Arabidopsis thaliana: one gene and its partners. The protein of the gene in region 2 interacts with the protein of the main gene of each other region in a pairwise test. Each region holds a gene or a part of one and is shown on either strand. Other genes may lie near its edges.

Region 1 (9,613 bases), on a different chromosome or scaffold from region 2:
GAGCTTACTCAGACAATTTGCAGCATCCAACATGCCAAGCATTTTCTTTTACACCCCTTCTCGTTCCTCGAATAAAGATATGGAAATTCTTTCCCGTAGCAATGGCCAGTCTTCACCAAGTTGATGTGGATTTAGCTCCATTGCAACTCTAAAATCAAGCAAAGACACTGAATGTTGTTCTCGCGTTATGTCAGATGGTTGGTTGCTAGTTTGTATGTGAAAACTATTATTCGTTCGCACCCCATTTACAAGCTCGTCTCGGCTCTGCTGTTTTTCTAAACTGTGTTTTCCAGGCGTTCCATTCATGGACCGAGCTCCAGCCAAATCAACGCATGATTTCATTAGTTTCTTCAGGTACAAGTCCAACATGTTATTTAAAACAATAGAACACTCCGCTGAAACCCCTCCAAGACCCTGTGTTACTGCAATATTCTCCATCCTCTTCCTCAGCATCTCTGTATCTGATAATCCACCACTGTCATAGCAACTGATAGCAGCTGCGCTGGTCGAAACTGGAACTGTTCTGCGGTCCCCACCGACACTAGCCGAACAAAATGGAATCCCCAGAGGTGCCATTACAGGAGGTGTGGAAAGAATCCTTACTTGAGCTTCATCATCTCTGCTAATTGGAGCTGCAACCTGATCTTTACCGGAAACCGCCTTTTGTTCAGCAGGGCAAAGAAATGCACTGTCTCTTTCATCAGGATATCGACCAGGTCTTGAATAAGCAAAAGGACCCAAAACCTTTCCGTTTGACCCTAGCGGACAAGGCTTATCTCTGATTGTCCTGTCGTCACATGTTCCAGGCCTAACCTTGGCTAACACCCCATTGGACAAAGCAAGATCATTCCTAATATGGTCAGGGTTTAGAGATCTGCTTTCTTCAGGTCCATCTTCTTTCCCAAGCACCAAAGATTTGCCAGGGTGACCGGATTGGTGAACTGATGGTGGGGACTTAGCCAGAGATGCATTTCTCAAGATGGAACGAATCAACTTATTGTGAAGAGAAAGATTCTCTCTCCCCAAAAGACGGAAACATGACTTATCAAACTCACTCTTAGTAAGCTTCTGACTCAGAAACCTGCCCAAGTAGTAAAAATACCTTGTAGATCTTTCAACCCCAACCTTCTTCACTATATGCACTTTTAGCTCAGCTAGATCAATCCTGGGATCTTGAAGACGTTGCATACTTCTTTCTGGCTTCTTCTTCTAAACCGAAACTAAGTGAAACAGTCAGAGGAGTGCACAAAATGCACCCTCTCAGCTTCTAGTTATCCTTCACACAAACAAACCCAACTCATCAACGTATTTATTCTCAAACTCAAATCCAGAAGCATTTCAAGAACTCAGCTGAAGCTTTTTAGTACAGGCCACTCCAATCTCATCTCCCCAAAAACCCAAACCCTAGAGATCATTATCTACTAGCCAGCTTTGAAATTCAACCTCGGCTGTTTCAGAATCAGAGTATATTACAAACCCTAGCTTGGAATTAGCAAATCAATCCATCAAGAAGGAAGAATCAATCCAACTAACCGTTTCTCCAAGTTCACGAGCGAGTAAGAAGACGAAACTGAATCAGAGCAGAAAAACCCCGCATTTTTTGTTTCACGCCCAATTCGGAAGCTAAGAACTTTGAGAATTCCCGAAATTTGAGTTGGAGCAAATCGAGATCAGTTGAGTTGAACAAATGATTGGAGCTTTGAGAACAGAGCAACAGATTCGAATTGCCTAAAGAATGATGAAATTCGAATTGAAGAAGGAGGAAGCGGGCAATGAGAAGCGGGACCCAAGCTTGTAAGCAGAAGAACAAGTGTTGGAAGATTTGACCAGAAAGAATTCAGACAAAAGAAAAATCGGAACAAAACAAGTAACTTCCGAGTTCCGACACCAACCCAATGATTTCTCGGCTTCTTAATAATACACTTCTGCTTCGATTGAATCTTCGTGGCTTCTTCTTTCGTATGGCTTTTCAGATTTGAATGTCTGAGCGCTTTCGCTCTTCTGTGTTTATTTTAGCTTCGATCGCTGCTTATTGGGTTTTTGTTGTTCGTTTTTCTTCACTTTTGTTTCTGTCTGTTTTGTTTTTTCTCTCTCTCTTTCTGTCTGTCTTGATAAAATTGGTTATTGGGTTTCTTCTTTTCGCTCGTTATTGCTTTTGTACTTTGGTAAGAGATTGTGTAACACTAGATTGAACCCATTTGATTATATTCATCTTACAATGTTTTGATCTGAGTGATCTCATCTAATATTGGATCATGTCAGAATTTGTTTACTTGACACTTTACGAGGTTAAAAGATGAGTGGTGTTAGTACTTGAGATTTCCCCCAAAAAAATTAGGTGTTGGCTTTTTGGTCAAGTAAAAAAGATTTAAAAATTTGGCATCGAACAAAAGAAAAAGAGTTTCAACATATGGAAACTGCAAACTACAAAGCTTCGTCAGCTGGAACGAAACCAAGCTTCAAACTTACAACATTAAACATTAGAGATTTCAGACAAATGAAAGAAACAACAGAGACACAATTCCACATAACTCGACAAGACAAATCCTCCTAACTCAAATACTACAAGATAACCTAAAAAGATAACGAAGTGACCAAAGACCAAACACAAACAGAGTGGGATTCAAATCTAAAAGAGATGTCACATAATCCTACCTCATCATAATACTCTCCTACTGCATTGTGTTTGTTGTGTACAGCTCATCTTACAAAGTTTATTTGGCCCGTCCTTTGCCTCGACCTCCTCTGCCTCTTCCTCTACCTCGGCCTCTTCCTCTTCTGCTGTATGCCAAGACCTTGGTATTTCCCGGGCTGCTACTTGCTGAGTTTGAGTTAGGTAGAGACTGGTCTCCTGGGAGCCACTCTTCTTCATGGGTGCTTGAACTGTTAGAGGCACTTGAGTGGCTGTCATTGCTTTCGTTATTAATTGCACCATCTGAGCCATTCCCTACTGTCATATCATCACCATGAATTTCAGCTATAGGCTGAGAAGCCTTGGTTTCTTCTGGTGGTGTGGGTTTTGGTTGACCTTCCATAACCGCTGGTGAACTGAAAAAGTAAGGCTTTGCTTAGGAGGAAATAATGTCATCATGTCAAACTAGCCAGACAAAGGAGTTGCTTTTCACCTAGGTGATGAAGATGGGAAACCGTTAGAAGTATGACGTGATGCGCCTATTTCATCAGCTTCTTTTGATGTTTCAAACACATCTTTAGGGATGCAAGAGTTCCCAGTAGGATCCAAAGTTGCCCCAAGAGCCAAGACAGCTGCATCAATAGGAGCGCAAGTAAATTAAGAGAACCCAACTAAAAATCAGAACCAAAGGAATTCAACATCCAATGTATACCATTTGTGGTGTTTCCGATAGTAGAAGTAGGTTGGATAAAATCGCCATCTTGATCATTGAAGTCATCTACAGCAGTTCCACTGTCGCATACAGTTGAAAAACTTCAGAAGATTGATATACTAAAAAACATATCTGTCAAAAAGAAACAAGGTACAATCTGTGTTGGAAGGATAAGCACAATAAAAAGAACCTTTGAGGAGCGGTATTCGTATCTTCAGATGGCTTGACTCCTTGTGTGGAGATAAATGTCTCCTCCAAACCAACTCCACCTAATCAGAACACATTAAATCCATGAGACAGAGTATAAAAAGCGAAGATGAGAGAGTGTATACAAATTAAGGATTAAGGGAGAAACTAACGAGATCTAGTGTGTAAAACTCCTGTTTCTTTGACGGCTTGATTAGCTTCCGTAGTCTTCACTCAAGTAAAACACACAAGGACACCAAAACAAGAAAGATTGGAACTGCAAGTTTTTTCTTGGTAATGAGAGACACATAGTGTAAAGAGTGCTTGATACCTGATTGTGCTCAGAGGTAGGTATGGCTGAATTTGGTAGAGCTCTGCTTTGTTCATTCCGTACAGCTGAAAGAACAGAAAAGAAGAGTTAATTTCAGTTTCAACTCATGTCTTACTGAAAAACTTCTTCCACGTGTGAATAAAGAAAGAAAAAAAACACCTCCATCAGCATTCAAAGACGAAGCATTTCCTTTGAGCATATCAGTCGCTAAAACATAGGGGCTGTATTTAGGTTCCAAAGAGGCTACACTACTGGGACTTTTAAGCATTTCCTCGGTTGCTTTAGCTCTGACTTTGCGAATTTCATCTTGAATATTCCATGACTGATTAGAACCGGACTTCCTTTTCAGCTGCATTTGGTAACCAATGTCAGAATGAATAAGGGTAAATTTGAGAGAGCCATTGAAAATACATATAACGGTATGCAACTTTTCTTTAGGAATAGCTGGAAATAGTGTCCCACAAATTCCTCGTGGTTATCTAACATAAACAATAGAAGTTAAGCAGAGAATTTTATCTCATAAACCAAGATGAAACGACTTCAGACTTTCAAACAACATTTGACCAAAAGAAAAGTATGCACTGCTGGAGAACTTAAAATTCTAACCTTGGATGAGGAAAAGTTTCCAGCGCTATAAGGAAGGGGTGTCCCTTGCACTCTTGCTGATGATGGTGATCGAAAATCTAAATTATTCGCAGCTGGAGATCCCCATGGCAGACGAGCTCGCATATAAGACTTGGCCACGTCCACAGGCGATCCAGCACCATCTTCAGTTGCCTGGAGATTTAAACTAATGGCTGAGATGGTGATCATCATTTAAAGTACAATGGAAAAAGAATACTGTGAAGCGAAGCTATCAGAAGTTGACCAAAATCATGTAAGTAAATGGTCTTCATAGTCAAAAGAAGAGCAACAATATGGATCTTTTGCATTTTAAGCGGACAAAAAGGTATTTCCCAATCAGGACATTTCAGAATTAACGTCACCAGATGGCCACACGCAGAATTCTGAACAACCTACTTTTGCAAGAGAGCTTTAAGTTGCTGATCACATGGATTGGCATATAACAATCAAATCATTTTACCCAAACAGAAGATGTCTCCTTCTATAATAATAATGGCTTAGAGCACGGAGACAAGATATCACAAAAAAGTTGATACCTGCAGGCTGCAGCAATTAGAACAGTTAAGAAGCAAGTTTCCAGAACTTACTTTATACTTTGAACTTGATCCTGATTTCTTCTCCTCCAACCATTTTCTTGCTTCCATGACAGCTGTATTGGACATTTCACCCACATTCACGTCTAGAAATAAAATAGAAAAGAAGACGTTATCACATAGACTAATCCGGTCTACTTGCACAGTCTACCATCAGTAACATACCGCTTGTCAATCCATAGTCATCATGACTCGTCTCAATAGCAGAGGGGACGCTGGGATGATCTACAACCCTAGCCTTGATGATATCTATTAACCTATCACCCTCTTCCCTGAAACAACATACACATGAATGAATAAGCAGGATACAAGATCAGCTTAGATTTGGTAACTACACACGTCTCAGAAAGATTCTTTAAGCTATGAGGTGTAAATAATAAGAATAGTCGAGGAGGCTGCTACTTATGATGTCCAAAAAGCCAGGCAGAGAAATACCTTGCAAATGTTTCTTGCAAGAGAAGCTGCTCAATTACACGCTTAGAACTGAGTCGTTGAATGCTTGGTTGCTGGGCACTCAGAAGGTCCTATTCACACAAGCACAAAAACTGAAATTATGCTTTTATAAAAAAAACTCTCAGTTGAAAACGTGTTAGCTTCACGAACTTTACTTCAAACAATTATCATAGGACTACAGTGGCATAGCAATCACCAAAACGAACAAGGTGGTTAGTACCTCTTCAGTAAAATCGGGATTGTTCTTCTCAACATCCTCATCACCATCAATATCTGCAAACAAAGAAGAAAACATATAAAAATCCATACATTAAAAGAATAAGACACAACAAAGCTGGTTGGTATTCTCAATCCCAGAACTACATTATATGAATAAAAATTAGAGCTTTAGAATTAGTATGAAGTTTATAGCTTAGAAGTAACCTAACTAAATAGAGTACAACAATGCTTAACTGCTCTTAAGTCCCACATATTAAAGGAAAGAGAAAATGGGAAAGCTTTAAGTCAAACTTCACATTTCAAACGAAACGGTAGCTTTCAGATTCGACCAGACAATAAACCAAAAATTCAAATTAATCCTATCTAAACTGAAATAAATGGTACAAACCTGAAGATGAATCCTCGTCCTCCTCCGAAGATGAGGAAGAGTCGGAGAAGACGACGGAAGAAATGAATTTTCCGGCGCCGGAAGCAATTACGCTGGCGGGTTTGTAAACGAGCCTGGAGATCCAACTAGGGTTTTGCTGAGGAGGATCTCGGGATCTCTGAACGGGGCGCTCACACGGCGTCCTGACAACAGCGGTGCGTCGTGGTCGAACAATTTTCCCACCGACTCGAGGCTGACCTGCTCCGGCGGCGTAACCGGAGACGGAATCCATGGTGAAAGTGAGAGGAGGAGGGAGAAGTTCGTTGTAGGAAATAATGAAAGTGTTGAGGAAAAATTGGTAATTTCTCGTTATTTGTCGTCTTCTTGTTTTTTTTTTTAATTGGGGGTGAATAGTTAGTTTCCTAAATTACAGGCCTGCGGTTAAAATTTCTTCCACTAATAAAATTAGGCAAAAACAAAACATTGCGATTAAAAAAAATTAATCGTAGTAAAATCATGTATTATATTCTTCTCTTTTCATATTTTGAACATATCACATGATGTTTAGATCTTATAAATGCAGTAATTTAATAGAGAGATTAGAATTTGGAAGAAAAAAAAGTTACATGATTAAACGAAGTAATTAATCAAGTTGTAAGTAGTTATTTTAAAAACAATATTAGAAAAATGTTTTTTGGTTACTCATACAGTAATACTTAATTCGTCAACTGTGTCAGTGTTACAAAAAGGCTAAAAGAATGGGCCAAATGGGCTACTCTTGTATCGGGTCAGGAACGGGTCAGTTCCAACCCGATCGGATCTAAAATGGGCGGGGCGCCTTCCTTTTCATTTTGATGGCAATCAATCATCATCAATCGACGCTTTTTTAGAGACAAACACGATCGCCGATCCATTTACGAGCCGTCGTTGCTCTACACATATCAACAACAAATCTTATCCTCCCAACTATCTTTTCTCTGATTTTCTTTTCTTCTCCAGTTTCCATTTCTAGAATCGATCGATATTGAAGGAGAGAAGATGCCTGGTTTAACATGTAACGCGTGTAACATGGAGTTCAAGGACGAAGAAGAACGTAACCTTCATTACAAATCCGATTGGCACCGCTACAATCTCAAGCGCAAGGTTTCATTTCTTCTGCTTTCTCTATCGAATTTGAACTCAAGCCTATCTGTTTCTCGGGAAAATCTTGCGTCGGTGATGAGATGAAAGTTTCTGAGAAACAGCTTTTCCATTTTGCTATCGAAATTGTTTAGTTAAGGTTATGGAATCGTAGAGTTTATATGAAAATTTGTTTTGAAGCTTATTCTACTAAGGAACAAGGATTTCAATAATCATAGATTTGGTTACTTCTAGGCATTTGAATCTTTGTATTTCTGTAATTTTTTATGTTAGGTGGCTGGAGTTCCTGGAGTTACAGAAGCCTTGTTTGAGGCTAGACAATCTGCTCTTGCTCAGGAGAAGAATAAATCAAATGAAGCACCTATGCTTTATACTTGTGCAATCTGTGCTAAAGGTTACAGGAGTTCCAAGGCTCATGAGCAGCATCTTCAGTCGCGTAGCCATGTTTTGCGGGTTTCACAAGGGACATCAATCAACGGAGAGGAGGATATAGCGATTATCAGGCAACTTCCTCGCCGTGTTCAACACAGGGGTTCCATTGATGATGATAGTGAAGATGAATGGGTGGAGGTTGATTCTGACGAGGAATTGGCTGCTGAAGAAGCCTCTGATTCTTTGTCTAAGTTGAATGTGAATGAGTCTGGATCTGCTGAAGATATGGATGATGATGGTGATGCAGATAAGTATGAGCTGGATCCAACCTGCTGTTTGATGTGTGACAAAAAACATAAGACCTTAGAGAGCTGTATGCTTCACATGCATAAGCATCATGGTTTCTTTATTCCCGATATTGAGTATCTCAAGGATCCTGAAGGGCTTCTCACTTACCTTGGTCTTAAGGTTTGGACTCATCAATTTACCATTCAGTGTTCGTTGTTGTCAAGCTTTGAAATTCTTACTCCTGTTTACTTATACATTGCTCATCATTTAGGTCAAGAGAGACTTCATGTGTCTGTACTGCAATGAGCTGTGCCGTCCATTCAGCAGCTTAGAAGCTGTAAGAAAACATATGGAAGCAAAGAGTCATTGCAAACTGCATTATGGTGATGGTGATGATGAAGAAGATGCTGAGCTAGAAGAGTTTTATGACTACAGCAGCAGGTTTCAACTCTCTTCTATCTCTGATTATTCTTGTTCTCGCCTGTATTCCTCGTTCTATGCCAAATCTTAATCCGCACCTTTCTTTGGAATATATGAATTGAGCAGCTATGTTGATGAAGCTGGAAAGCAAATTGTTGTATCTGGTGAAACAGACAATACTGTAGAACTCGTTGGTGGTTCTGAGCTCTTGATCACGGAGAAGTCCGAGAACACAACAACGTCTAAAACTCTCGGGTCCCGTGAATTCATGCGTTACTACAGACAGAAGCCACGCCCAACTTCTCAAGACAGCAACCAGATAATTGCCTCTTTATCTTCAAGGTTTGTTTTCTCCAAACCCGTTAATCATCCGAGTCTATCCAATCAGATAATCGGCAAGGTAAACTAAGGTTATTCCAACAAATGGTAAATTCTCAGGTACAAGAGCCTGGGTCTGAAGACAGTACCGTCGAAAGAGGAGACTTTGAGGATGAAAGTGCGCAAGGAGATGAGCAAGAGAGGCGAGACAATGCGTACCAAGATCGGAGTGAAGAGTAATGTCATAAGAAACTTGCCCAATAACGTCCCATATTAGTTTCTGTGTATGTGCCACTTGTTCTCAAGTGTTGGATTGTATGATGATTTCATGTACTTTTGAGTCTTTGACCAAGTTGTGTTGCTACTTGGTAATAAGAGTAAGCTTTAAAAAGAGTATGTTCACTGAAATAGAAATGTTAAAAATTAATACACGAACGTTGACTTCTGATTTACTCTCAATATCTACATTGTCCAGAGATGCATGTAAAACAAAGAAGAGACAACGACAAAAGGGTACTACAATATCCCAAAAAGGCTTTTTGTTTAGTTTTTGTACAAAGGCTGCGACTGCTGCGAGTAATGTCACAAGACAAACCTAAAATAAAATTTATGTGTAGAAACAAAAAGAAAAAGAAGAAAGAGGTCCAAAACCAAGAACACTGGCTACAAATAGGCTGGTCTGCATCATTTGCTTCGCTTCATTTTCCAGCTGACTGAGAAAGAACGAAAAGGAACATTACAGATTCACAAGAAGACAGTACCAAAAGCATAGAAACAGAAGGTTAATACCTAATTTTCATAGAAGCGGGTTCGACGCCTTCTTGAACTGTAAATCAGAGAAAACAAGGCATCAAGCAATGTCTCTTAAGTAACCATCATATATAGCACAAGAAAGCTACTAAACCAGGTCAACACCCCAAGCTATTATGCCAGAAATATCACACAATGGGGCCTGATT
Region 2 (7,448 bases):
AGGCAAATGTTAATCATACACAATTACTAGTTCAGTTAGCTCTATCTTCAAAAGTTTATCCAAGAAAAAACTACAAAGTCAAGATTTTTGATACATCAGTGTCCAATGTCTTCAACTAAACTAAACTAAACCAAAACACCAAGACCAATGAGATTGAAGATGGACAATTACCAGAAAGCAGTGTAATTGGAAAAGTCGTAAGAAGAAACCATAACACCAATGGAAGCAGCAGCAGTTGCACATTGCCCTAGTCTCAGTATCAACCCACTCATTGTTCCAGGACTCCCAATCATCTTCTTCATTGATCAGAACCCAAAAACAAACACAATAAACAGAACAAAACCAAGACTTTCTATCCTGTTCCTCACCAAAATCCCCGGGAGAAAAAAATCGCTACTTTACAGGAAATTGATCATAAAAACCCTAAACCCATAATTTTATTCAGGAAAATTTCACAAACCCAAATCTCAAAAGTTGACTTATGATCATAAATCGTACGGAATTGGGTAATTAAGAGCATCGCCACCAGAAAACCAACATTAAAAATGACAACTTTTTTGAGCTATATGAATTTAAAAACAAGTATCTACCACAAATTTAATTCTGCTTTTTTGGAGGAACAATTATGTTTCCCTTAACTTCAAGCCAACGATATTAAAATTGAAGTTGGAAGAAACAGTGACGCAATTCTGACGCCGGCAAGAGCTATTTTGTTCTTCTCTCCTTTTGCCTTTAAGGACGTGTCCACACACAGACATTCCTCTCTCACTGTACGAATGACCAATTCCTTTTAATATATGGGCTTCTTATGGCCCATTAAGTAATTGGGCCTTATTAAATGGCTTTTTATCTCCTACATAATGCTTTGCACTATAAACAAACCTTAAACCTCTCTTCTTCTCTCAGTAAAACCCTCATTTCTGTTTCTCTTTTCACTTTTAAGGAAAACCCTAGAATCCTCAGAAATGGCGTTGAGCACCGTGTTTCGTCGAGCTTCGTCAACAGTAGCCAATCTTGCTTTCCGTGCGGGTAGATCTCCGGTTAGCTTCCGCAGTGGCGCTGTCTCCGTCGAGAGGCTGATTCGTGGTAGCCACCAGATCAGGCGTGGATCGGTTAGTTCATTCTCAGTCTCGAGCTTTTCGACGGAAAGTGCGATCTCTAAAACAACCGCCGACGAGAATCTTGTTAGCGTTATCGAATCTGAAATCGAATGCGCCGTCGCAGAGGAGGCTCCTCATGACACTGACTTCGTAAGTTCTCTCTTTCAATATACATGATTCTTCTCGAATTCATGAGATTTTAATATTTCTGGGGTTTAGAACAATTGTATCTGAATTAGAAATGTTTTGGAAAAACAGTTGGAAGATAAGCCAGAAGGGTTTCCATTTGAAATCATTGATAATTCAGGGGAGAGAACTGTGTTGCTGACAAGGAAATTTGAGGATGAAACCATCCAAGTGGAAGTTGACTCTGTTGCTTCTTATGATGATGAAGATGAAGAAGAGGAAGCAGAACCAAACAATGAAGAAGACGATGAAGATCAAGAGAGCTCGGGTAAAGTCCGGGTTCCGATGGTTGTTAGTGTGCAGAAAGGTGATGGTGTGTGTCTTGAGTTTGGAGTCAGCGCATACCCGGATGAGATTGTGATTGATAGTTTATCGATCAAACAACCGCAAGGATCTGATAATGACCTTGCTTACGAAGGACCTGACTTTGAGTAAGTTTACTTCAATGATAGTGAGTTCTTGTTTGGAATATATGAGATTGGGGTATTGTTATGTGATTGAATTTGGTTATTGTGTTATGTGCAGTGACTTGGATGAGAATTTGCAGAAGGCTTTCCACAGGTACTTGGAGATCAGAGGTATTAAACCAAGCTTCACTACCTTTCTGGCAGATTATGTGGCCAACAAAGATAGCAGAGAGTATCTTCAATGGCTCAAGGATCTCAAGTCTTTTGTCGAGAAGTGAAACTGAACTTTGTTCAGAGAATAAGAGCGAGATTTCTTTTTGCTTTAAACTTTTGAGTTTATCTTAGATGAACTTGATATCACCATGAGCAATCGTTGAAAGTGAGGTCATGTGTTATGCTTGTTAACAATATTGCTACATGTTTTTAATGGGTTTTTAGGTACTTTGCTAGATATAAGATGCAACTCTTTCGAGTGTCAGTTGGAAAAAATGTTACGACCTCAATAAAGTATAATTCTTTTGCATTTTCCCATTGCCTATTCTTATCCGAAAACTCTCGGCTAAGTAGTCAAATCATTTGTTTATTTTCCATTTCTTGTTATCTCATTATTATTGTTACTAGACCTCTCAACCCAAAAAAAGAAAGAAAAAAATGCAAGCTATTAAACGATTCTAGGACTTTACACAAAGGGTTTTGTGTTAGAACGAAGAACAACAAAGCTAGCTTTACAAGTCTTTAGCAAAAAAAAGAGAGGATTTTGCTAGCAAAAAGAGCTCAGAGCTCAAATCTCAAATCAAAGAAAAAACAGATGATCCCAGTCATTGAGCAACAAATCCAGATTGAACATCCATAGTACAGTGTTAACGAAACCGGGTTTATCTTGGAGAAAGGCAGTAAGTTTGGTCTTTACAGCGTTATGTCCTCAGCAGAACACGATCATGGTGGTACAAGCTGCCAAAGACTGTCAACATTTCAGAAAATCTAACCATCCAGTTAAGCAAATAGATGTTAGACTAAGAAGAAGATATTTCAAACTTACATTACTCTAAATCTCGCTGTAGTTACGCCATACTGCTCGGAATTCCTCCCTAAATGTGTTAAAACGTGCCTTCAAGTTCGGTGTTCTCAAGCTTGCATGAAGAATTGTTGCTGTAACACAAATTACAAAAAGAGGTTGAGTTTATAAAAGCCTATATGTGGATTTTTGAAGTAGAGTGAGAGAAACTAAGTTATGACTTATGAGGATTTGTGTAGACTGCATACCAAGATGTGCAATGAGTAGCGCAACCGAGACTCTGAGCAAACCAGAGGAAATATACCAAAGAGCAAAACTCACTGCGAAACAAAAAAAAAACTCCAAATCATGTTTTTTACGGTTTTTGGAGATATATTACATCAAATGAAAATATACAAAGCCACATACCAAGTGAGCATGTCAAGACAAAAACCCAACGGGGTTGACCACATACATGGATTGCTCTCTTTGATGATGGACGCCCACGAGTGACAGGTCTAAAAAACACAGATAACATAGATGATAATAAGCAAGGAGTAACAAAGAGTATGAAAGGCAACAAAGAGAGATAAACATACGTCAAAGGAGGTCTCATTTTAGCAGCTAACTGTGGAGAGAATCTTCTGACGGTTCGTGTCGCCTTCTCACTAAAAGAACCTGCAAAGCTGTAGACAAGAATACTCAATATGGATCTACTGATTCAAGCATATCCACTAGTCAAAGCTCTGAGAGTTTAAAAACAAAAGGAAGATGAAGAAAAACCTGTCATTTAGAAATGCCAAACTTAATGCTGTCAAAAGCGCAGCGAAGATCGCTAAAGGCCTTGTAAGGACTCCCAATCCTGAGAAGTAAAATTTGACAATTCTAAGTGAACAAGACATCATTGATAAACAACACAGATGATAATGCTTAGCCACTTCCTCACACCACATACCAAGTATAACGACGATCATGATGAAATAGTTTGTTCGGTAGCTGCATAAACAGATCATCATCACAGGTCAAAATTAAGCTCAATACAGAAACTAAGCTATCAAGACTCTGTGTTCTAACCAAAGTCTAAGAATTCTATGTTCAATTGGGACGAATTTGATTGGTAATTCTCAACGAGAGATTGATCACAACATCAGATCCGAATAGATATGAAATTGGCGAACAAGAAAGAGAGAGAGAGATCGTACTAGTAGAGATTGCACTTGAGGCGACTATCCCATTTAGGGACAGATTTAGGAACGGTGAACCTTGAGAAGAACTCAGACGGAGGACGCGGCGGAGACGACCAGTCAACTTCTCGGAGAGCATCGAAGAGATCATCAACCGTTACGTTTCCCCAATCCATAATCTCCGATCACAAAAACACAACACTTCTGATTCCACAATCCTTAGTTAACCTTATAAGAAAACAGGTACACAAATTCTCAATAGAATCGATCGATTGAGATCAAATTATCAAAGCTTCGTCGAAGAGAGAAACAGCGATTTCGTGCTTATATCGGAAAACTTGAAAAGTCTATAATGCTTTTTCTTTGCATTGGGGAAAGAGGAAGGAGAGAATCATCCTTCTTTTTGTCAAATGACGTTTCTGCCCTTTAGTCTGGTTTTCGTTAACCAAAGGGGTCCTGGACCAGATTTTATGTAATCCGGTTTTCGAATCTTTTAATCTAAACTTTGGTTTTCGTTGTATAAATTCCAAAACAAAACGCATCTAAACCGATCTAGATTGGAACGAAAGTCTGGGACTATGATTTGTAAAACGATTAATCATCTAAAAGTTTTAAAAGGAGGATCTCAAGCTCTAGATATAGGTAGGGGACAGGGAAAACAAAATATTACTGGCATAAAATCATATTTTAGACTATATGTATCAAATCATATCCCACTTCGAATGACTAGACCAAATTATGATTGATGGATATATTCTTCACTAAGATAACTAACCTGTTTCAAATGGATTTAATTCGATGCTTCTTCTTTCTCCAAAACCGTTAAAGCTAAGTGTTTTCTTGAGTAAGGAAGAGGTAAACTGTATCCCGAGGATTAAAAACTATACATTCGCATATGTATATGCTTAATTGGTTTTAAACCTCAGGATGCAGATTACCCGTTCATCATCAAGTACCTTCATCTTCTTCTTCGTGTTGTTGTTGTTTTATGTTAATGGTGAGAATATATATAGAGCTGGTGAAGCTTATAAAAATAGTAATGGTGCAAAAGAATTATACTTATTCCGAAGGTTTAATGCTTCTGGAACAAATACTCACACAGAAAGACAATATCTTTAGTTGTCCATGGTTTCTTATATGTTCTCATATTTATCTCTAGACTCTAGTTCAGCATATAGATAGACCAATATAAAAATATATGATATAACATGTACGGTTGACGTGGCTAGTGTCTAAGGTTGCCACTATATGTATTCATGAATAATTCAAGAACAAATCGAATAGTATCTCTATTGTTTTTAGAAATTTAACTAAAATTTTTACATGAAACGTGTGGAGAGTGTTTTTCCGCATCCACATAAAGGAGACGGATTGTGAGAGATCAAATCATGAGAAATTGATTCTTTGTAGTTTGTTCTTTAGGAGCCAATGATGGCACCTTCTTAAATTTATTTTTTACTTTGTACCTTTTTAATATACAAATAGTTTTTTGAAAAAATTATTTGACTGCTTTTATATTCTTCTCTCGGCTCATTACATGAACCTCTTCTCAATTATTGAATTTCATATAATTCAAAACATATTTGCTAATACAGTTTATGTTTACATCTTATTCTATATAGACATAATCCAAGAATATAAACAAAAATGGTGTAAACAAACAAAAAGGCTGAGAAATGGTTAGGATCGGAGAATAAATTCTACAAAGAAAAAGATTTACTTTTTTCCCATGAGAGGGAAAGGTTATGTATATATATATATATATATATATATATATATCTTTCTTGTTTTCCAAAAGCAAATGGAAAGTTATTTGAAGCAACAAAAGCACAATTTTATTTTCAATACTTTTGCTCTCATGTGATCTTCAAAAGCCAACGTATTAGTACACACTGAACATTAAACCGAACTCATTTGTTTTGTGTGTTTGAAATCGGCTCAAACTTCTTTTATGAGTAGAAGAATTCAACAATGTTGAGCGGATCGGAGTCAAAACTGCATCCGACTCAAAAAGATAACTCAAATAGTCTGAAATATTTCAAGGTTTAGGGTTTGAAAACATGTTGTTTAGTCAATGTTTACTATCAAGTAAAACAAGATAGTTCAAAATATAATATCAACGATCAATGATAAACATCTTAATCGCGTTCTTCAACGATAATTGTGACATACATAAAAAAAAAAAAAGCACCATGTTTTGAATCATGCCAAAATATTAAAACAATGATAGATGCCTTTTATATTTCACCAAGACATAGACAACTCTAAAGTCTAACCCATGTTTTTAACATTGGTTATTGAATCCAATTTCATTTCTTAAAAAGATAACATTTGTGAAAGTAAGCAAACAACAAAAAAAGAAGAAGAAACATTCTAATATACACATCATATGCATTTCAATTCCCCCATATCTTCTTATACATACCCAAACGTCAAACATATTTTTTCCTTTCCACACAAATAATCTCAACCTACAAAATCATGTAGAAACTGATGATTACTACCACCAATAAAATCTCTCCCAAACTGACGATTTTGCCCTTCATACCCACCACCACCATCGCCACTACCACCATCAAGCCCAAACCTCTGAGCAGTTGTCATCGGAAAAGGCTCCGGTAACCCAATCTGATGATGAAGCCCTAACGTCAAAGACACTCCTCCGTTTGTGCTGCTATTCATCACCGGCACATTCGACGACCCAATTCCATACGAGAAACCAACCGCACTACCGCCGCCGCTCCCACTGTTTACATAGCTGTTGTTGTTGTTTGTGCCATGAACGTCGTCGTTTCGTGCCCGTCTAGGCGGAGATGAGTTGTTAGGTCTTTGCTGTGCCGAGGACGAAGATGGGTTGTTGTTGCTGTTGTCAGGGAAGACGGTGGTGCTAGTACGTTCGTCTCTCCAAGAGGAAGAAGAAGATCTCTGAGATTGTCGAGTCTCCAGCATGTGAATCTCTTCCACCATCGGCTTCCAAACCCTAACTCTTGCGTTTATGAACCAATTCGATACCTAAAATAACATTTTACCATAATAAATTAATAACCCTCAAGCGATAGAAAATCCCTAAATTATTCATTATCACCAACGGATAAATTTTCAAAAACAAAAGTGTAACACTTATTCAAACCTAATAAACCAAATTATAACATAGTTACTATACTAATGATATATGTGAAAAGATTTAAAACATATAATTATTGTCCGACAACAGAAACTCATTTCATAAAAGCATATATTTATCTATGTGACTATGTGCATGCTTAATTAGCAAGAAATTTGTTAAATTGTGAACAAGAAAAGATGGAAAGAGAAAAAAGAAGAAGACTGAAGATATCAGAAGTGAAACCTGATTTCTGGAGAGACCTGTCTGCTTAGCCAGCATGAGTTTGTCTGTATCTGTTGGATAACTGCAACAAAAGACACAGACAACAACAATTTAATATATCATTGTATATACTAACATACACATATATATAGACACATAATTACGCTTGCAACACGACATCTCCAAGTTTGGGAAACAAACAAGCAGTCGACATGTCCCATCTAAAACATACTTCCAAGTAAAAATACA
Region 3 (7,686 bases), on a different chromosome or scaffold from region 2:
GACATGACTCAACCAGACAGCTCCCATGATAATACAGTGAAGAGCTAAACGCAGCAATCTCTAACACCTCCAATTTCAACACCGAGCAGAGAGAACTTGATCTTTTAGCATAATTCAGACGAAATCTGAGAAACCATTTCCTATTCAACAAAAAGTTGACAACTTTAGTAATACCCACTTCAAGTCTAAGCAAACAACCCCTAAATTTCCTTAAACAAAGAACATAAGCTACGTAAGAACCAGTACCTAAGACACGAAACCAAGCCAAAGCTCTGTTCTTTTCGCAGAAATGATGAATCAAAGCTTGTTCTGTGGCTGAGGAAGGAGAAGAAGATACATCAGAGACAGAGAGTAAACGACGTAGTTTTAAGCTTTGAAAAGAGAAACGACGTCGCTTAAGGATCTTAAAACGTTCTCGATTTTAAGTAGTTGAAAACACCCTAAAGCCGAACACTTTGGTAGTGAATTAAAGAATCGATTTCTCTCTCTCTCAAGCAACAATGGGTAAAAGTTTCTGGCTTTATTTCGAAACTGTTTCTTTTTTGTTGAATGATGTTGTTGTAAAGGAATTGGTGTAATTGCAGATGAAGGAAGAGAAGGAGAGATAGAGAAGAAGAAGAAGAAAGATGAAGAAGGAGAAGTGAAGGAAGGAGTAGCATCAATAGCTTTGTTACCATGTGGGACTATCTCTGGTCATTTCATTCAGATGCCTAGCTCTATCTGTTATGGCCTCCATGGCACTGGTAACTTCAAATCTCTTCTTACTAGGGCAAACCAAAAAAATGTGGTCTTTTCTCTTTGTTGAGTTTGATTCTGTTTTGCAATTAGATGTTTTGTGTTCTTGCTTGGATTTGATAGAAATGTTTGGTTCTCAAGCATGTAAATGATTCAGATTAAAGACTTAATCTTGCACTAGTTACATCTATTGATACTGGAATGATTGATAAAGATCCAATGGCTTAGTTACTGTGGCAATTTTGACATGACATTGCTTGATTTCACTGCAATTTGTTGTATTATTGATGTTGCTTTTCTCTGTTTAAAGAACTAGCTTGTGAGACTGAGTGTAGCCGCGGTGAGGATTATCGGTTGATCAAACTCACTATCATAGACTACAATGTATGATTTTCTCACTTCCTTTTGTGATTCTTAACTCTTAATTTCCAAAACCATGATATTGAGTTTGTTCCTTGGTTTCTTTTGGTGAAAAAGAGAAAGAAGGAACAAACAGTTGTAGTGGAGTGCAAAGGCCATGATGCTGCTCGAATTAATGATGTCGAGCATGCTCACGGGTAAGTTGTCCTTGTTCTCGTATCTGTTATGCTCTTAGCTTTTCGGAGAAAACATTCGAATGAGTTGAATTTGAAAACCTTTTTGTGAGAGTCTTTTACTGTCCTATGTTTAGTGAATATGACTACTTGTCTTTGGAAAGGTGGGAGGAAGATGTGATAGGATTAGTCGAAGAAAAACACGGGAAGAAGAAAGTATCGGTTTCGTTCGAGTGTGAGACATTGAAGGCAGATGAAGCAGCAGAGGACCATATCAGACAGTTTATGCCCAAATTAGCTGGACTTGATGCTGTTAGTAAGTAAAACCAACACTTTATTCTTGTGCCATTCTCATTACATTTATGTTGTCTTGTTTTGTTGAATCAACACACCGGGGTTTTTGCCAGTTAACATTGGACCGATGAAGATTTCCGGGCTTGATTTTGCTGCGGTGGAAGAGGGACACATAAACTAAGACAGCTTAACTCTTTCTTTTTGTGTATACATCATATTTGAATGCTCTTTGAGTCTTTGTTTCATATCGTAGAACACAATTAACGCTTTAAGCTCAAATGATCTAGACTAGAACTCATAGAAAACATAAAAGAGAAATAACCGAACCGAAACCAAACCGAAAAGCCGTACACCCACCCCTAATTTTGGGTGTCATCTTTTGCTTTCTTCTATGGAAATGGGTGGAACAAACAAACAAAAGAAAAAAAAACCCATACAATTTAGTCATTATATATAAGAAAAATCAATGCATTTAGTTACGCAATTCCTAAATAACATTGCATAAACTTTATATACATAAATCTTATTGAGACACTCAAACACTCACAAACAAATCCACAAATACTAATAAGTTTCTGCAAGAGCCCTTACAACACATACGTCCAGCTTCGTAGAGCAACAATGCAATCCAAAACTACATCCATATATAGATAAAGAAGACGGTAATTACGAAATTGTTATACTTACATGACCGATCTTGGGTCTCAGTTGTTGAAGAAAAGTCGTCAAATTAGGAATGGGAAGTTTCTGAACGCATCCTTAGAAAGTTCATGTGACAATCTCTCGAACAAGCCAGTCGAGACAAGGATAAGCGAAGTAGAGGATGAGAAACGACGGTAGAGCCAGCAAGAGAGTGACTAGAATGTACATCGCCAATATGGCTGCACTGGTCGGTATTGCATAGAGTATTATCAGCAGAAATATGACAACTAATGGGAACTTTGCTGTCAACTGGACAAAGAAAACCAGAGACTTCCTCAGTGAAGTTTGTATGTTGTCCCTTGGAATGCGATGATCATTAACAGAACGTGATGGTTCAGGTTGACTGCGATGATGGCGATTGTGGAGACATGGAGATGGAGTTTCCCTTGTATGATCATTGTTTCCATCTGTTTGAGCTCCACCAGGTGAGTTACGTCTCTCTCCATTCATCCTCTCGACCATCCAAAGCACAAAGTAGTTCTTGTGAGGGAATCTGAGTGTTCCTCTGAAGACCAGACGGAAAGACAAAAGGTTGCACCAGGGGCATGAAATGAAGAGAGGAAGCTGAACCGGGTGAGTAGGCAATTTCACAATAGCCCATTGAAGTCCCAAAATGCAGTTTTTACACATCGTATGTCCACACCATAACACATACGGAACGTTTTCAACTATATTAAATGATTCCCAGCATATAGGACACTCGAGACCTTCGTCTTTACTACCTACAGAAGATACATCGTCATCTGAACACTCCGCATGAGCATGGACCGGTCTTCTGATATCGTTTTTCGGTCCAATGTTTCCCGTAAGATAACTCGATGCTAGATTCCACATTCTAGTATCAGGGATGGATAACATGAATACCTTGTTTGTCACTAAGACCTAACCAGTTCTGCTAATACTTAACTCTCTGACCTTCATGAACACCGAACTCGATGCTTCATCGCTTCATAAGCAAAGAGAAAACACATATTAATCCTTCAAAGACAATCCCAACGACACACCGATGCAATTCCAACTAAGAATCAACTAATAAGATTAAGTGCTACATTGAGCAACCATGGTAACACAAATCATTAAGAACCTACTATACAGCAAGATTCAATTTTTATGATCAGAATCGATATTCGAACGCTTTAACTTGTATTAGAGCTCAAAGCTCGACAATTTCATCGATAAAGGGGACTCTTTTATCTTTGAGCCAAGTTTACTCACCGATGCAATTCTAACTAAGAATCAACTAAGATTAAGTGCTACATTGAGCAACCATGGCAACACAAATGATTAAGCAACTACTATATAGCAAGATTCAATTTTTATGATCAGAATCGATTATTCGAACGCTTTAACTTGTATTAGAGCTCAAAGCTCGATCATTTCAGCGATAAAGGGGACTCTTTTATCTTTGAGCTAAATTTACTCACAGATGCAATTCTATATCAGTAGCAACCAACTAATAAGACCAAGATTTAGTGATACATTAAGCAACCATAGCAACACAAATGATTAAGAAAACCCTAAATAGAAAGTTTCAATTTTTATACTCAGAATCGAAATCAGACTCTCAGACTTGTATTAGACCTAAAGCTCAATCATTTTCAGCAATAAAGATGATTCCTTTATCTCAAAGGTTATGACTTTATCCGATACAGAAGATCCCAATATAAGATTAAAGGAAGAAAGAGAAAACCCTAAAATCAAAATCACTAAATGAGATAATTGATCACAGAATTAAGCAGCTAACGAAGTAATCGAACCTAGATAGATAATTGAAAGGACAGAGCAATCAAATGGTTCACAATAACCGAAACTAAATCAGAGTGATTTAGATAAAGATTCGTACCGATTCGACTCTGCTCTGAGCTTTTTGTTTCGTACGTGAAAGAAGAAGATGCTTGATTCGATTTTTCCGGCGAGACCTAAACTTTCTGGGTTTTGTTTTGCTTTCATAAACGACGTCGTTTCAATCGTGTACCCAAGTTTTCCTTCCAAAAGTGTTTTTGATATTTTCTAACGTAAAAACTTGGTTAGTTGTTTTTTTATAAACATAATAACATTACCAACCAAAACATTTACGCTTATTGAAGATTAAGTAAACCTCTGAAAAAATAAAACACAGAGCGGTTAATTTTATTAATATAATTTAATAGAATTTTGTATTATAAGTTATTTATCAATTCAATTTTTTTAATATTTTAAAAAGAATAATAATAAATATATTAAAAAGAAGAAATATGAGAAAAAGAACAATCACGAAAGAAAAATAATAATAAAAGAAACTTTACGTTGTTTTTTTTTTATCTATATGAGTGTATATAGATAAAATGCAAATGGACTTAATATGTAAATATTTCTTTAATTTTTGCAACATTCTTCTCGTCCAGAGTTCATTTGTCATTTATCTCTTTGCGATATCTTTCATGTTGTCTCGTTAAAACTTTTCTAATAAAATCCATTGGTAGAAACCACAGTAAGGTAAAAAAGTATAATCATACAAGCTCTCCCTCGAATGACTATGGACATGGGGTGCAGGATGTTCGACATTTTTTCTTGTTACCATGTAATAATCATTGAATGCTTGAGACGTAAATTCACCAACGTTATCTAATCTAACTCCTTTGATTGGATAATCAGGAAACTCAGCTCTTAGTTTTGATTATCTGAGTTAGAAATCTCGCAAATACCACATTTCAAGATGATAACAAACAAACATGTGACCATCTACTAGACATGTCTATCATTACCATGAAATAATATAATGGTATACATGGTGGGTGTATAGGTTCACAAATGTCGCATTTGACTCGTTCAAGGAATTTTGGTAATTCTTTATCGATTTTGCTTGTCGATGGCCTTATAATCAATTTTCCAAGAGAAAACGTAACACATGTCCTTTTATTTTCTTGATAAAACTCTTAGGGTTTCATTGAATGTCCATGTGAGCTTTTTATAATTTTTTGCATCATCGTGGTGCCTGGGTGACCAAGGCGATCGTGCCACAATGTGAAATCATCATGATCTCTTTTGATAACAAGATGTGATCCTATTGAATTAATGTATGTATGATGCAATCCTGATGGGAGTCTTGGTAATTTTTCCAAAACGTGTCTTTTTCCCAATTTTTCAGAAGTGATATACATGTACTTTTTTTCATTCTCACTTGCACACTGAGTGTCATATCCATGAAGGTATATATCTTTGAAACTCAACAAATTTCTTTTTGAATTTGGTAAAAATAATGCATTATTTATCGAGAACTTTGTCCCGTTAAGTAATGCAAAATTTGTTTTACCGGTCCATTCAATTAAGTCTATGGGACCTGATATTGTGTTAACAATAACTTTTGTTGATTTCAAATGAGAGAATTTTTTTTTTTGTTTTAGAATAGTGTGTGTTGTTCCACTATTCGGTATGCAAATATCTCTAAGGTTTGCCTTGGATACCATTCCATTTGTAATGTGATCCATTTCTGAAATAAACATAATCGATTAAGGTAAGTAGAAAATAAATTTATTAATCAAGCATATAACACCCGATAATTATACATGATAGGTAACACAAGCACACAATAATTACACATGATAGGTAATACAAACACACAAACTTAGGAAATTTCAAGCAAGCGTCGATTTATTTATGACATATTAATTCGAGCCCCACACGATAGAAATTTCAGTTTTCCACAAGGACAACCTCATCGAGATCATTAGCAAAGTCAGAAGCATCAAGGTGGGTTGTACCCTCAGAATGTTCCGCAAGGTTCACTTCCTTTCCTTTTCCCTTAACAGATTTTTTGTACAGAGCACAAAGGTGTGCTGGAGTTCGGCATACCTGATACCGATGTGCCTTAGGGTCACATCTGAAACAAGCACTGTCACATTTTTGAAAAGTATTTGCTTGGATTTCTTTTCCTTTCGATTCATGCTCAGGACGAATCTTTTGGTATGACTTCCTGGTTTGTGGATTAAAGCCTCTTCCACGTCTGTGATAGCTTCGGCGCCCCGTCCCCAAAAAATTTTGTTTTCTCTAAGCGGATTTTTAACATCCAATGCATTAACCTCAGGGAATGCCTTTGATCCGGTAGGTCGGGACATGTGATTCTTGATTAGGAGCTCACTGTTTTTTTCAGCTATTAAGAGTGCCACAATCAAATTTGAGAATTTGGTATATCCACGCAACCTATATTGTTGTTGCAAAGTAATGTGGTTTTTGTGAAACGTGGTGTACGTTTTCTCAAGCATCTGAGATTTAGTGATAGTTTCACCACAATATCTCAGTTTGGCGACAATTCCCAACTTGGCAAAATTGTAGTTCATTACCTTGTCAAAGTCTTGAAACCTTAGACTTTGCCATTCGTCTCGGGCAAGTGGGAGAGTGATGTCCCTTTGGTGATCGAAACGATCTTTCAAATATTTCCGGAATTCTTTAGGATCTCTCATGTGTGCATAGTCATATATGACACTTTCATCCATTTGTCTTATAAGGAAGATCACCGATTTTGTCTTTTCTTGGGCCGTCGAAGAATTATTCTCCTTTATAGTCTCCGTTATCCCAAGGGACTCCAAATGTATCTCAACATTAGTAAAACTATGGTGAATAAAATATTAAATAAAATATGGTGATTAAAATCATCCATGTTAAAACTGTGAAGTAGAGTATTAAATGAAATATGGTGATAAAAATTATCCATAGAAACAATAAGGGGGGTGTATTGAAACTGTGATTTTCAAAAAATTTTGGTTTTATTACTGGTTTTGTCTATCCTTGCGAAAATCCGATATTTTGCTTCACAAGTTTCCAACTACTAGACTTGGGCATGAATACATACAAAATATGTTTGTTGAAGATCGCGATCATTTTCGACATTTGTATCGCATGTATCCAGAAGAATTCCTGAAATTATGCAGTATATTTTAAGTGAAGATGGGTTTAAGAGATACAATGAATGTTTCAGTTGAAGAAATGCTTGCTTCCTTTTTGTTCATCATTGGGCAAAATTTGAGGTATATCCAGGCTCAAGATAGATTCAAGAGGTCGAGATTCTCAATAAGTACGAGCTTTAATACAATTTTGAAGGTGTTAAATGTATTTGCACCAAGCTATATGGCTAAACCTACACTTGTAGTGCCCACGAAAATAAAAGACAACACAAGATTTTATCCTTATTTTAAGGTACGTGGTTATTTTTTTTGTGTTTATTTCTTTTAAGTATTGTAAATTTTAACCATTAAGTTTGTTATTTTCTTAGGATTGTGTGGGCGCTATTGATGGAACACATATCCCTGCAATGATAACAGGAAAAGAAACAGCTAGTTACCGTAATCGAAAAGGACAATTATCACAAAATGTTTTGTTGCATGCAATTTTGATTTAGAATTTATATATGTTCTAAGTGGATGGGAAGGTTCAGCTCAAGACTCAA
Region 4 (7,850 bases), on a different chromosome or scaffold from region 2:
TCCAATGGCAAAATTAGAATATATTTTTCTTTATATGAATGCGTAAGAGAAAAAAATTTCTTCACTTTGTCAGAGATGTTCGTAAGTTGGCCTTTTTTCAAAACATCATACTTTTCATTTTTAAATGATCATATAATATATAGATCTTTTTTTGTTTGGTCAAATATATATATATAGGCCTTTTAGATCAGAAAATAAAGTATTGTTATTTCTTTTTTAATATTAAAACAAAAAAAATGATCTTCACCAAAAAATAACAAAAAAAATTTTTGATCAAAAACACTGAAAATGACTTCAAAATGATACTTGACCACGTACAAAATGCCAGTTGCATGGAAAATGAAACAAAGAAAAACATTTTCTCATTTTCGTAAATATTGACGTAGGATCACACACACACGTATACACACTTGTAGACTTCGAACTTCTTTGTACGATACACGTTAATTGATGGTCTTCGTCGTGTGGACAGAGTCGTCGTAGATTTTCAAAGCACGAGCTGGGACCACTCAAGAACACACATAACCAATAGCCTTAAACAAAACTGGTCATCACACTTTTGAAAGTTTTTCTTGACTATGGATGGGTTAATTTGGATCAGTTCCTAAACCATGATTTGGGTTTGATCTTTCACCATTATATAAAGAAATTCGATCTTAATTGCTACCTAATTGCACTAAGAAAAAATAAAAGATTCAATTCTGATATCCGACCACAAAAAATCATGATACAAGAGTTCCTCTCTTCTTGGAACTTCTTATACCAAAAACAAACATGGCTTAGCATCATCTGTTAGACTTGTAACTAACATTTCTAAATACCAAAACGCTTCACAGAAACCCCTAACTAACTAATATATCCGATGTTACTGTTAAAGGACCTAAAGTCTTTAAGTGGAAGAGGAAGTGACAAGAGATTCTTGATTCTTCTTGGCTCTAGAAGCCCTGTGTCTTTTCTTGAAGTTTTCTTGTCTGAATTTTTTGGTTTCTATCCCTATCTCCATGAATGGTCTCTTCACTATATTTCTCTTCTCTGTCTCCAGTTTCTCCTGTTTCTTAGCTACCGCCATTGCTGCTGCTTCATTCTTTTCCTGCTGCTTCTCTGCTTCCCTCTAATCAATACCAAAACAAATCAATGCTTCTTTCAGTGAATTGATGTATTAGGATTGATAAAGAGAGAGAGAGAGAGAGAAGACCTGAAGATCGTGGATGAGACAGTCGAGAGATTTGATCTTCCTATGAGGCCACCGTGGAATCCCAAACTCTCTGCATTTCTTTTTCAAAACAGTGAGACCGACCTTGAGATTCCGAGAAGCTTCCACGATAGTGAGGTCAAAGTATTTTGAAAGCTCTTCTAAGGATAGTTCAGCAACATGTCTCGATGGTGTCCTCTTCTTCTTCTTCAAAATCTCAGTCTTAGCATCTGTGTTTTTACAATAACCCGAAATTAATCACCAAAATGCTTAAAACTGGACCTTGTACCAAAAAAAAGAGAGCTTAAAACTGGCCTAGAGTTATATATTATCTGGAAGGCAAGTCTATTGACATTTGAAGAAAGAGATTTACCTGATTCCGACTGTTCAGTTTTATCGTTTTCAAATTCCGAATGTTCGGTTTTTTCGTTTACAGATTCCTCGGATTCGGTTTCTGAATCAGGAAGGCAGTTAAGATCTTGTTTCAGAACGAGCTTTCGTGGTTTAGGCAGATCAGAGTTATAATATCCCTCTGTACTGCTACTGCATTGTTCTTCTTCATAAATCTTTGATGGTTTTAACTCGGAGATAAACTTGAGCTCGTTGGCTAAATTAGGGATGTCCTCCAGTTTGGGATTTCTATCAATAAAAAGAGCAAAAACATGTTTGGTTGCTAAAAATGCTCACAACTCAAGTAACACTACAATGTGCTTTTTTTTTAGTAAAATGTTAAGTTTTAGAACATCTATGAATTTCTTTTACCGAATACAGAGATAACAGAAGATCGAATTCTATGCAACACTACAATGTGTTATTGTTACAAGCCTATTTGTTCACAATTAGGTAATCTTAACTCATTCACTTTACATAGTCCATTGCTATTTTTGTGCCATTGTTGTCAAAATTTGACAGTCTTGGAGTCAATAAGACAGTAACACTATATAATCTACAATTCGATTCAAGAGACCTAATTCTAAAAAAAATCAATCTGTTATGTGAAAAATATAACAGCACCAAAAATTTTTAAAACAAAAACGTTCCGAATAATGAATGAGTCAAAACTGGCGTTACCTGGAAAGACAGAGAAGAGTAGGAAACCGAGGAAGCGAGTGATTAAACCGGAACACAAAGATACAACGCCACGTGCCAAAAACCGACCCTTCCGAGATCTCCGGTCGCCGGAAATCTTCCGAACGAAACAGAGGCTTCGCTTTCTTCTCTACATAACAGCTTTTGCTCTTGAACCAGAACTCTCTCTCAATCTCCACCGATTCATAGACATGCAAACTCCTCACCATCTCTGCATTAACAAAACCCATAGAAACAAAATAAAAACCATTTTTCAATCCGACCCGAGTCATTCCGACCCGATTCGAGATTCTAGTCAGAGTTTTGACTTACCTTTGCGGATGACGCTCTGGAAAACGGCGAGTGAGGTTAAGGAATGTGCCATGTCCGAAGAAGACCAAGAGTCGCAAAAGCAGAAGCCCAAGATTTTAACATAAAAAAGTTTTATTAATATATTTTTCTTTTTTTCCTTTTTTAGTGTGAAAAATCTGCAGAAGAATCCAAGGTTTTATGTACTTGAAGCGTTTGTCATTAAGTGAAAAGGCTCCAAGAAAAGTAGGTTAAAATTTTACCCTTGGTCCACCATCGAAATTACCAAAAAGGCAGAATATTCCGGAACGCACGTGTAGGCAAGCGGAGCGTGCGAGGGTAGTTATGTAAAATTAACAGTGGGAAGCGGGTTGCACCGAACCAAGCCCATGTAGCTAAACACTCACACGCGCGACGCATGTCTGAAAAGTGGTAATTGAATTTTGTTTAGAATGATTCTACAGAGGTTGAATTTGGTAAATGAATCAGAGGAATATTAAGCATTTGAGCATAATTTCCAATTTGGTCAGATTATGATATATGTAAATATGTCCATGATTCATTTTCTGTTTTTGGGTTCTCTTTGTTCATTTATTAAGTCATGGGCTGAAGTTTTCATATTTTAAGTCATGGGCTGAGTTCTCAAGGACTAAAACTGGTATTGATATTATGATCTGTTAAAAGCCAATTCATTTAAGGTGTTCAAAATCTAAACTGAATAATTGCGTTAAATTAAGCCGGACATGTTTCAATCAAAAGTCAATAGAATGTGTCAAAATACTCTGGGTACTTGGGTAGTATTAGTAACATTAACTTACAAGGATTTTTCTCTATATAAAAATACAGAGTACTAGTTTTGATTTTATCTGAGTGAGAACTTTCTAATAAAACTCTAATCGAAAACAATTAATATTTTGTATAAAATGGAGTGTAGAACCTAAATATTTTGTATTGCTTGGATATATAGTTTTTTTTCTTCTTAACATGGATATATAAGTTCTATTTCGTACATATTTCCCCTAATTTTAATGTTGAATTTTGGAAAACTTTTGTTGGATAGTGACATGAAGACCCTAATTTTAATCATAACATTTTGGAAAACTTGATTGGGTGAGTGATATGGAGGTGATGTTAACGTATGTTTGGTATCAATAGTTGGTCCAATTAGGCCCAAAGAGTCAAAAAAGGTGCCCAAGTGTTGTCAAAAGAGAAAACAATTAAGAATAGGGCAAAGCTTGGCCAGCAAGATTTAGTGGTCATTTCCTAGAAACGTGTCCAAGAATTTATAAAGATGGGTTGTCTTATAAATACATATCGTTCACGTAATTACCTGAGATCAAATCTTAATCATATCATTCATCGTATATAGACTCCAAACACGTTTTTCAAACTCCTATGATCATGTGTTCTCTCTTTGCCTCCGTCTTTGATTGCTTTGTTCCAAAATCAGACTCAAAGATTAGCTCAACTGATGAGAGTGACTTGAAAGTCCTGTCCTCAAAGAAACCAAAAAGCAAATCCCCGAGAGCTCCGATTATGGTGTCTTACTTTCCCGCCGGTTCAAACCTTTCGCGTCTATAAGTGCCAAATAGAAGAGAAGAGAAGATGAAGTATTGGGATGTTGATTTTGATATAAACGAAAGAAGTTTTTGGTTGTAGACATGTTGTATGCGCAGGCTTTAATTTTATGTTTTATTTAATTATGTACAAATAGACCATTTAGATTGATAGCATCATATATATGCTTTGTATTTAAGACCAAATAAAAGATTAATGTTTATATACATGCGTAAAAATGTTAAGAGCTTAGTTAGTATCATTTTCAAAAACTGATTGTCACTTGAGCTTTTATTTTTCTTATTTTTTTAATTAAGAAAAGTTGTGGCCCTCAAAAAGTTACATGGAATCGGAACAGGAAAAAAAAAATGTCGAAAACTGATTAATCTAGGCAACGTTATCGCATTTTCATATCTTACAAATCCCTTTTTCAATTCAGATTTGGTAGAAATGCAAGGAGAGTTCCATAGTGTATATGTAAAATTTGTATAAAACGTCTAGAAGAATTACAATGCTGAATTTGTTGGAAGCTCTGTTTTTCTCTGCTTAGACGTTTCCAACGTGTTTTGGGTTTCTCTGATCACTGTAAAGCCTAAACCACAAGAGAAGAAAAACCACGAAGCTTTGGGCTTTAAGGCCTTTTTGGGCCCTAGCCACAATAATGGAAGCCTATCAAGAAAAGACAAGACAAGACAATAAGACAGAAGAGGACAAGTGTTTAAAGTGGAAGTTATCTTTCTCACGTGGTCTAAAGAAAGGTTAAAAAAAAAGAGGGAAAAAAAAAAGAAGATGAGAGAAAGCAAAGTGTTGAAGACTTTTTAGAAAGCAGAAAAAAAAGCAGAGAGTGTATTCAAAGTCGGAAAGAAACCCTAAAGAAGAGGATTATGGGTGCTGTATCGATGGAGTCGCTTCCTTTAGGTTTCAGATTCAGACCTACCGATGAAGAGCTCGTCAATCACTACCTCCGTCTCAAGATCAACGGACGTCACTCCGATGTCCGTGTCATCCCTGATATCGATGTCTGCAAATGGGAACCTTGGGATCTTCCTGGTTCGTCTCTTTATTCTCTCAAAATTTGATTCCTTTTATTCTCAGATTCTGTTTTCCCTCTCAAAGATTCCACCTTTTTTTTCTTTACTCAATTGGAAACAAATCTGATTGTCGGCAGCTCTCTCGGTGATTAAGACGGATGATCCAGAGTGGTTCTTTTTCTGCCCTCGTGATCGGAAATACCCTAATGGTCATCGCTCTAACAGAGCAACTGACTCTGGCTATTGGAAAGCTACTGGTAAAGATCGTAGCATCAAGTCTAAGAAGACTTTAATCGGTATGAAGAAGACTCTTGTCTTCTATCGTGGACGAGCTCCTAAAGGTGAGCGGACTAATTGGATTATGCACGAGTATCGTCCCACTCTTAAGGATCTTGATGGCACTTCCCCTGGCCAAAGCCCTTACGTTCTTTGTCGCCTCTTCCACAAGCCTGATGATCGGGTTAATGGTGTCAAGTCCGATGAAGCAGCTTTTACGGCCAGCAACAAATACTCACCTGATGATACATCATCTGATCTTGTTCAAGAAACACCTTCCTCTGATGCTGCTGTTGAGAAACCATCAGATTATTCAGGTGGATGCGGTTATGCTCATAGTAATAGTACCGCAGATGGGACAATGATTGAGGTATGAATGGAAACTCTTGAATAATTAATTAGGCTTTTTTGAGTGACTTGACTAATTTTGAGTTTTGTGTTCATAGGCACCTGAAGAGAATCTTTGGTTATCTTGTGACCTTGAAGATCAAAAGGCACCACTACCGTGTATGGATTCTATATATGCTGGTGATTTCAGTTACGATGAGATTGGATTCCAATTTCAAGATGGTACCAGCGAACCAGATGTATCACTAACAGAATTGTTGGAGGAGGTGTTCAATAACCCTGATGACTTCTCTTGCGAGGAATCGATCAGTCGAGAGAATCCAGCAGTCTCACCAAATGGGATATTTTCATCTGCTAAAATGCTGCAGTCTGCAGCACCAGAGGATGCTTTCTTCAACGACTTCATGGCTTTCACTGATACAGATGCTGAGATGGCGCAATTGCAGGTGAGCACAAAGATACATATTTTGAGGCCTATACAATTTTAGAAGTATCCAAATTATTTTGCTTTAAGTAGGCTAGAAACCTCTAGATCAGTTATCTTTACAATCACTCTTGACATAAGTAAAATGACAATTTTTATCTTTTGTTTGATCAGTATGGTTCAGAAGGTGGAGCTTCTGGTTGGCCAAGTGACACTAATTCATACTATAGTGATTTGGTTCAGCAAGAGCAAATGATCAATCATAACACAGAGAACAACCTCACAGAAGGGAGAGGGATAAAGATCCGGGCTCGACAGCCTCAGAACCGGCAGAGTACAGGATTGATAAACCAGGGTATTGCTCCAAGGAGAATCCGTCTGCAGCTGCAGTCTAACTCTGAAGTAAAAGAACGAGAGGAGGTGAATGAAGGACACACTGTTATTCCCGAGGTACGAGACTAGTGATTCCAAAAGTTGTGTCTTAGACATCAATAACATAAAGGATGCATCTTTTTAATTTGTTGTTAATGGTGGGGATGTGCAGGCCAAAGAAGCTGCAGCTAAATACTCAGAGAAGAGTGGTTCTTTGGTTAAACCTCAAATAAAGCTCAGGGCGCGGGGAACTATAGGCCAAGTAAAAGGAGAGAGATTTGCAGACGACGAGGTAAGAATGAGTGAACTTGTTTACACATGAATGAAGAAAGAGTATAGTAGTAAGCTCTACTAAATACTATAGAATTAGAAAGAAAAAAAAGAGAAAGCAATCAGTAGAGCATGTGAGATCAGCTAGTAATGATAAAAGAAACTGAGAAGTATCTTTGTCTAAAGAGAAGTTTGTTGTGGTTACAGGTACAGGTGCAGAGCAGAAAGAGACGAGGAGGGAAGCGATGGAAGGTGGTTGCAACGGTAATGGTGGCTGTGATGGTTGGGGTAGGGATGGGTATATGGAGGACACTGGTGAGTTCATGACACATGAGACACAAAGAGAGAGAGAGAGAGAATCAAATGTAGTTTAATGTAATTAGGGATGATGCAATGTTAGCATGTTTGTGTGTTGTAACTTAAAAACTTATTTAGGAATCTGATAAAAGTTACTGTTGAATTTACACGGATGGTCAAGATTAAATGTACCAACATCTTAATTATCTACGGTCAAGATTAAAAATACCAACATCTTAAATTAACACCGCATCAAAGAATTATCTCAATCGTCGTCTCTCCCCAATTCAAAAAAAGAAATAACCTAAACGTGTTCACACAGAGGTAAGCTCGCTCCTACTCGCCGCCTCATCTGAGTCAACTCCGAGTCAGCTATTTTTCCCCACCGGATTCTCACTTTTGTTCCTCTCTGTGACAGATCTCGAGATGAAAGATAACCAAACGGAAGTTGAATCGAGGAGCACTGATGATAGGTATCTTTATATTTATCCGTAATCTCGATTCTTAGATTCAATTTGTTTCCGTAGTTTTGAAATCGTCTTTTATGATTCTCAGATTGAAAGTTAGAGGGAACAAAGTTGGAAAGAAAACAAAGGATCCAAACAGGCCTAAGAAACCACCAAGTCCTTTCTTCGTCTTCCTGTAAATAAAAATCACTAATCTCTCTTCTTCTTTTTTCTTCACTAATTTGATTACAGTAATTAAT

What was found.
Region 1: the proteins of PRA1.A1 (region 2) and AT4G31430 interact in a two-hybrid assay, tested with the Arabidopsis thaliana proteins (one large-scale study listed by BioGRID).
Region 3: the proteins of PRA1.A1 (region 2) and AT3G29270 interact in a two-hybrid assay, tested with the Arabidopsis thaliana proteins (one large-scale study listed by BioGRID).
Region 4: the proteins of PRA1.A1 (region 2) and NTL9 interact in a two-hybrid assay, tested with the Arabidopsis thaliana proteins (one large-scale study listed by BioGRID).

Annotation. Positions count from the first base shown.
Region 1 is NC_003075.7:15,245,306-15,254,918, reverse strand, and holds AT4G31430 (flocculation protein), read right to left. Parts: upstream 6,543-9,613; 5' UTR 6,410-6,542; coding exon 6,139-6,409; intron 5,805-6,138; coding exon 5,752-5,804; intron 5,603-5,751; coding exon 5,514-5,602; intron 5,351-5,513; coding exon 5,244-5,350; intron 5,165-5,243; coding exon 5,073-5,164; intron 4,639-5,072; coding exon 4,468-4,638; intron 4,211-4,467; coding exon 4,021-4,210; intron 3,927-4,020; coding exon 3,862-3,926; intron 3,759-3,861; coding exon 3,704-3,758; intron 3,614-3,703; coding exon 3,535-3,613; intron 3,425-3,534; coding exon 3,345-3,424; intron 3,265-3,344; coding exon 3,126-3,264; intron 3,049-3,125; coding exon 2,715-3,048; 3' UTR 2,360-2,714; downstream 1-2,359. Other genes in the region: AT4G31441 (uncharacterized protein), read right to left, coding at 1-42; AT4G31440 (transcriptional regulator of RNA polII, SAGA, subunit), read right to left, coding at 49-1,188; AT4G31420 (Zinc finger protein 622), read left to right, coding at 7,156-7,260, 7,531-8,097, 8,189-8,358, 8,461-8,679, 8,776-8,932; AT4G31410 (E3 ubiquitin-protein ligase, putative (DUF1644)), read right to left, coding at 9,445-9,481.
Region 2 is NC_003076.8:397,762-405,209, reverse strand, and holds PRA1.A1 (prenylated RAB acceptor 1.A1), read right to left. Parts: upstream 4,312-7,448; 5' UTR 4,048-4,311; coding exon 3,890-4,047; intron 3,684-3,889; coding exon 3,643-3,683; intron 3,550-3,642; coding exon 3,471-3,549; intron 3,374-3,470; coding exon 3,287-3,373; intron 3,206-3,286; coding exon 3,117-3,205; intron 3,029-3,116; coding exon 2,957-3,028; intron 2,843-2,956; coding exon 2,739-2,842; 3' UTR 2,733-2,738; intron 2,655-2,732; 3' UTR 2,220-2,654; downstream 1-2,219. Other genes in the region: AT5G02060 (Uncharacterized protein family (UPF0497)), read right to left, coding at 172-302; AT5G02050 (Mitochondrial glycoprotein family protein), read left to right, coding at 966-1,250, 1,359-1,717, 1,812-1,971; RPL (POX (plant homeobox) family protein), read right to left, coding at 6,338-6,883, 7,221-7,281. UniProt on the Arabidopsis thaliana protein: May be involved in both secretory and endocytic intracellular trafficking in the endosomal/prevacuolar compartments.
Region 3 is NC_003074.8:11,230,762-11,238,447, reverse strand, and holds AT3G29270 (RING/U-box superfamily protein), read right to left. Parts: upstream 4,276-7,686; 5' UTR 4,108-4,275; exon of another isoform or gene 3,211-4,107; 5' UTR 3,123-3,210; coding exon 2,331-3,122; 3' UTR 1,990-2,330; downstream 1-1,989. Other genes in the region: emb2076 (Pentatricopeptide repeat (PPR) superfamily protein), read right to left, coding at 1-27; AT3G29280 (uncharacterized protein), read left to right, coding at 501-504, 585-743, 1,046-1,119, 1,213-1,292, 1,406-1,584, 1,676-1,743.
Region 4 is NC_003075.7:16,887,905-16,895,754, reverse strand, and holds NTL9 (NAC transcription factor-like 9), read left to right. Parts: upstream 1-4,953; 5' UTR 4,954-5,010; coding exon 5,011-5,176; intron 5,177-5,294; coding exon 5,295-5,803; intron 5,804-5,879; coding exon 5,880-6,227; intron 6,228-6,379; coding exon 6,380-6,655; intron 6,656-6,749; coding exon 6,750-6,869; intron 6,870-7,035; coding exon 7,036-7,221; 3' UTR 7,222-7,350; downstream 7,351-7,850. Other genes in the region: RKD5 (RWP-RK domain-containing protein), read right to left, coding at 890-1,111, 1,196-1,422, 1,566-1,831, 2,264-2,492, 2,594-2,748, 2,833-2,846; HMGB5 (high mobility group B5), read left to right, coding at 7,571-7,617, 7,700-7,786. UniProt on the Arabidopsis thaliana protein: Transcriptional activator activated by proteolytic cleavage through regulated intramembrane proteolysis (RIP). Calmodulin-regulated transcriptional repressor. Binds several synthetic promoters with randomly selected binding sites.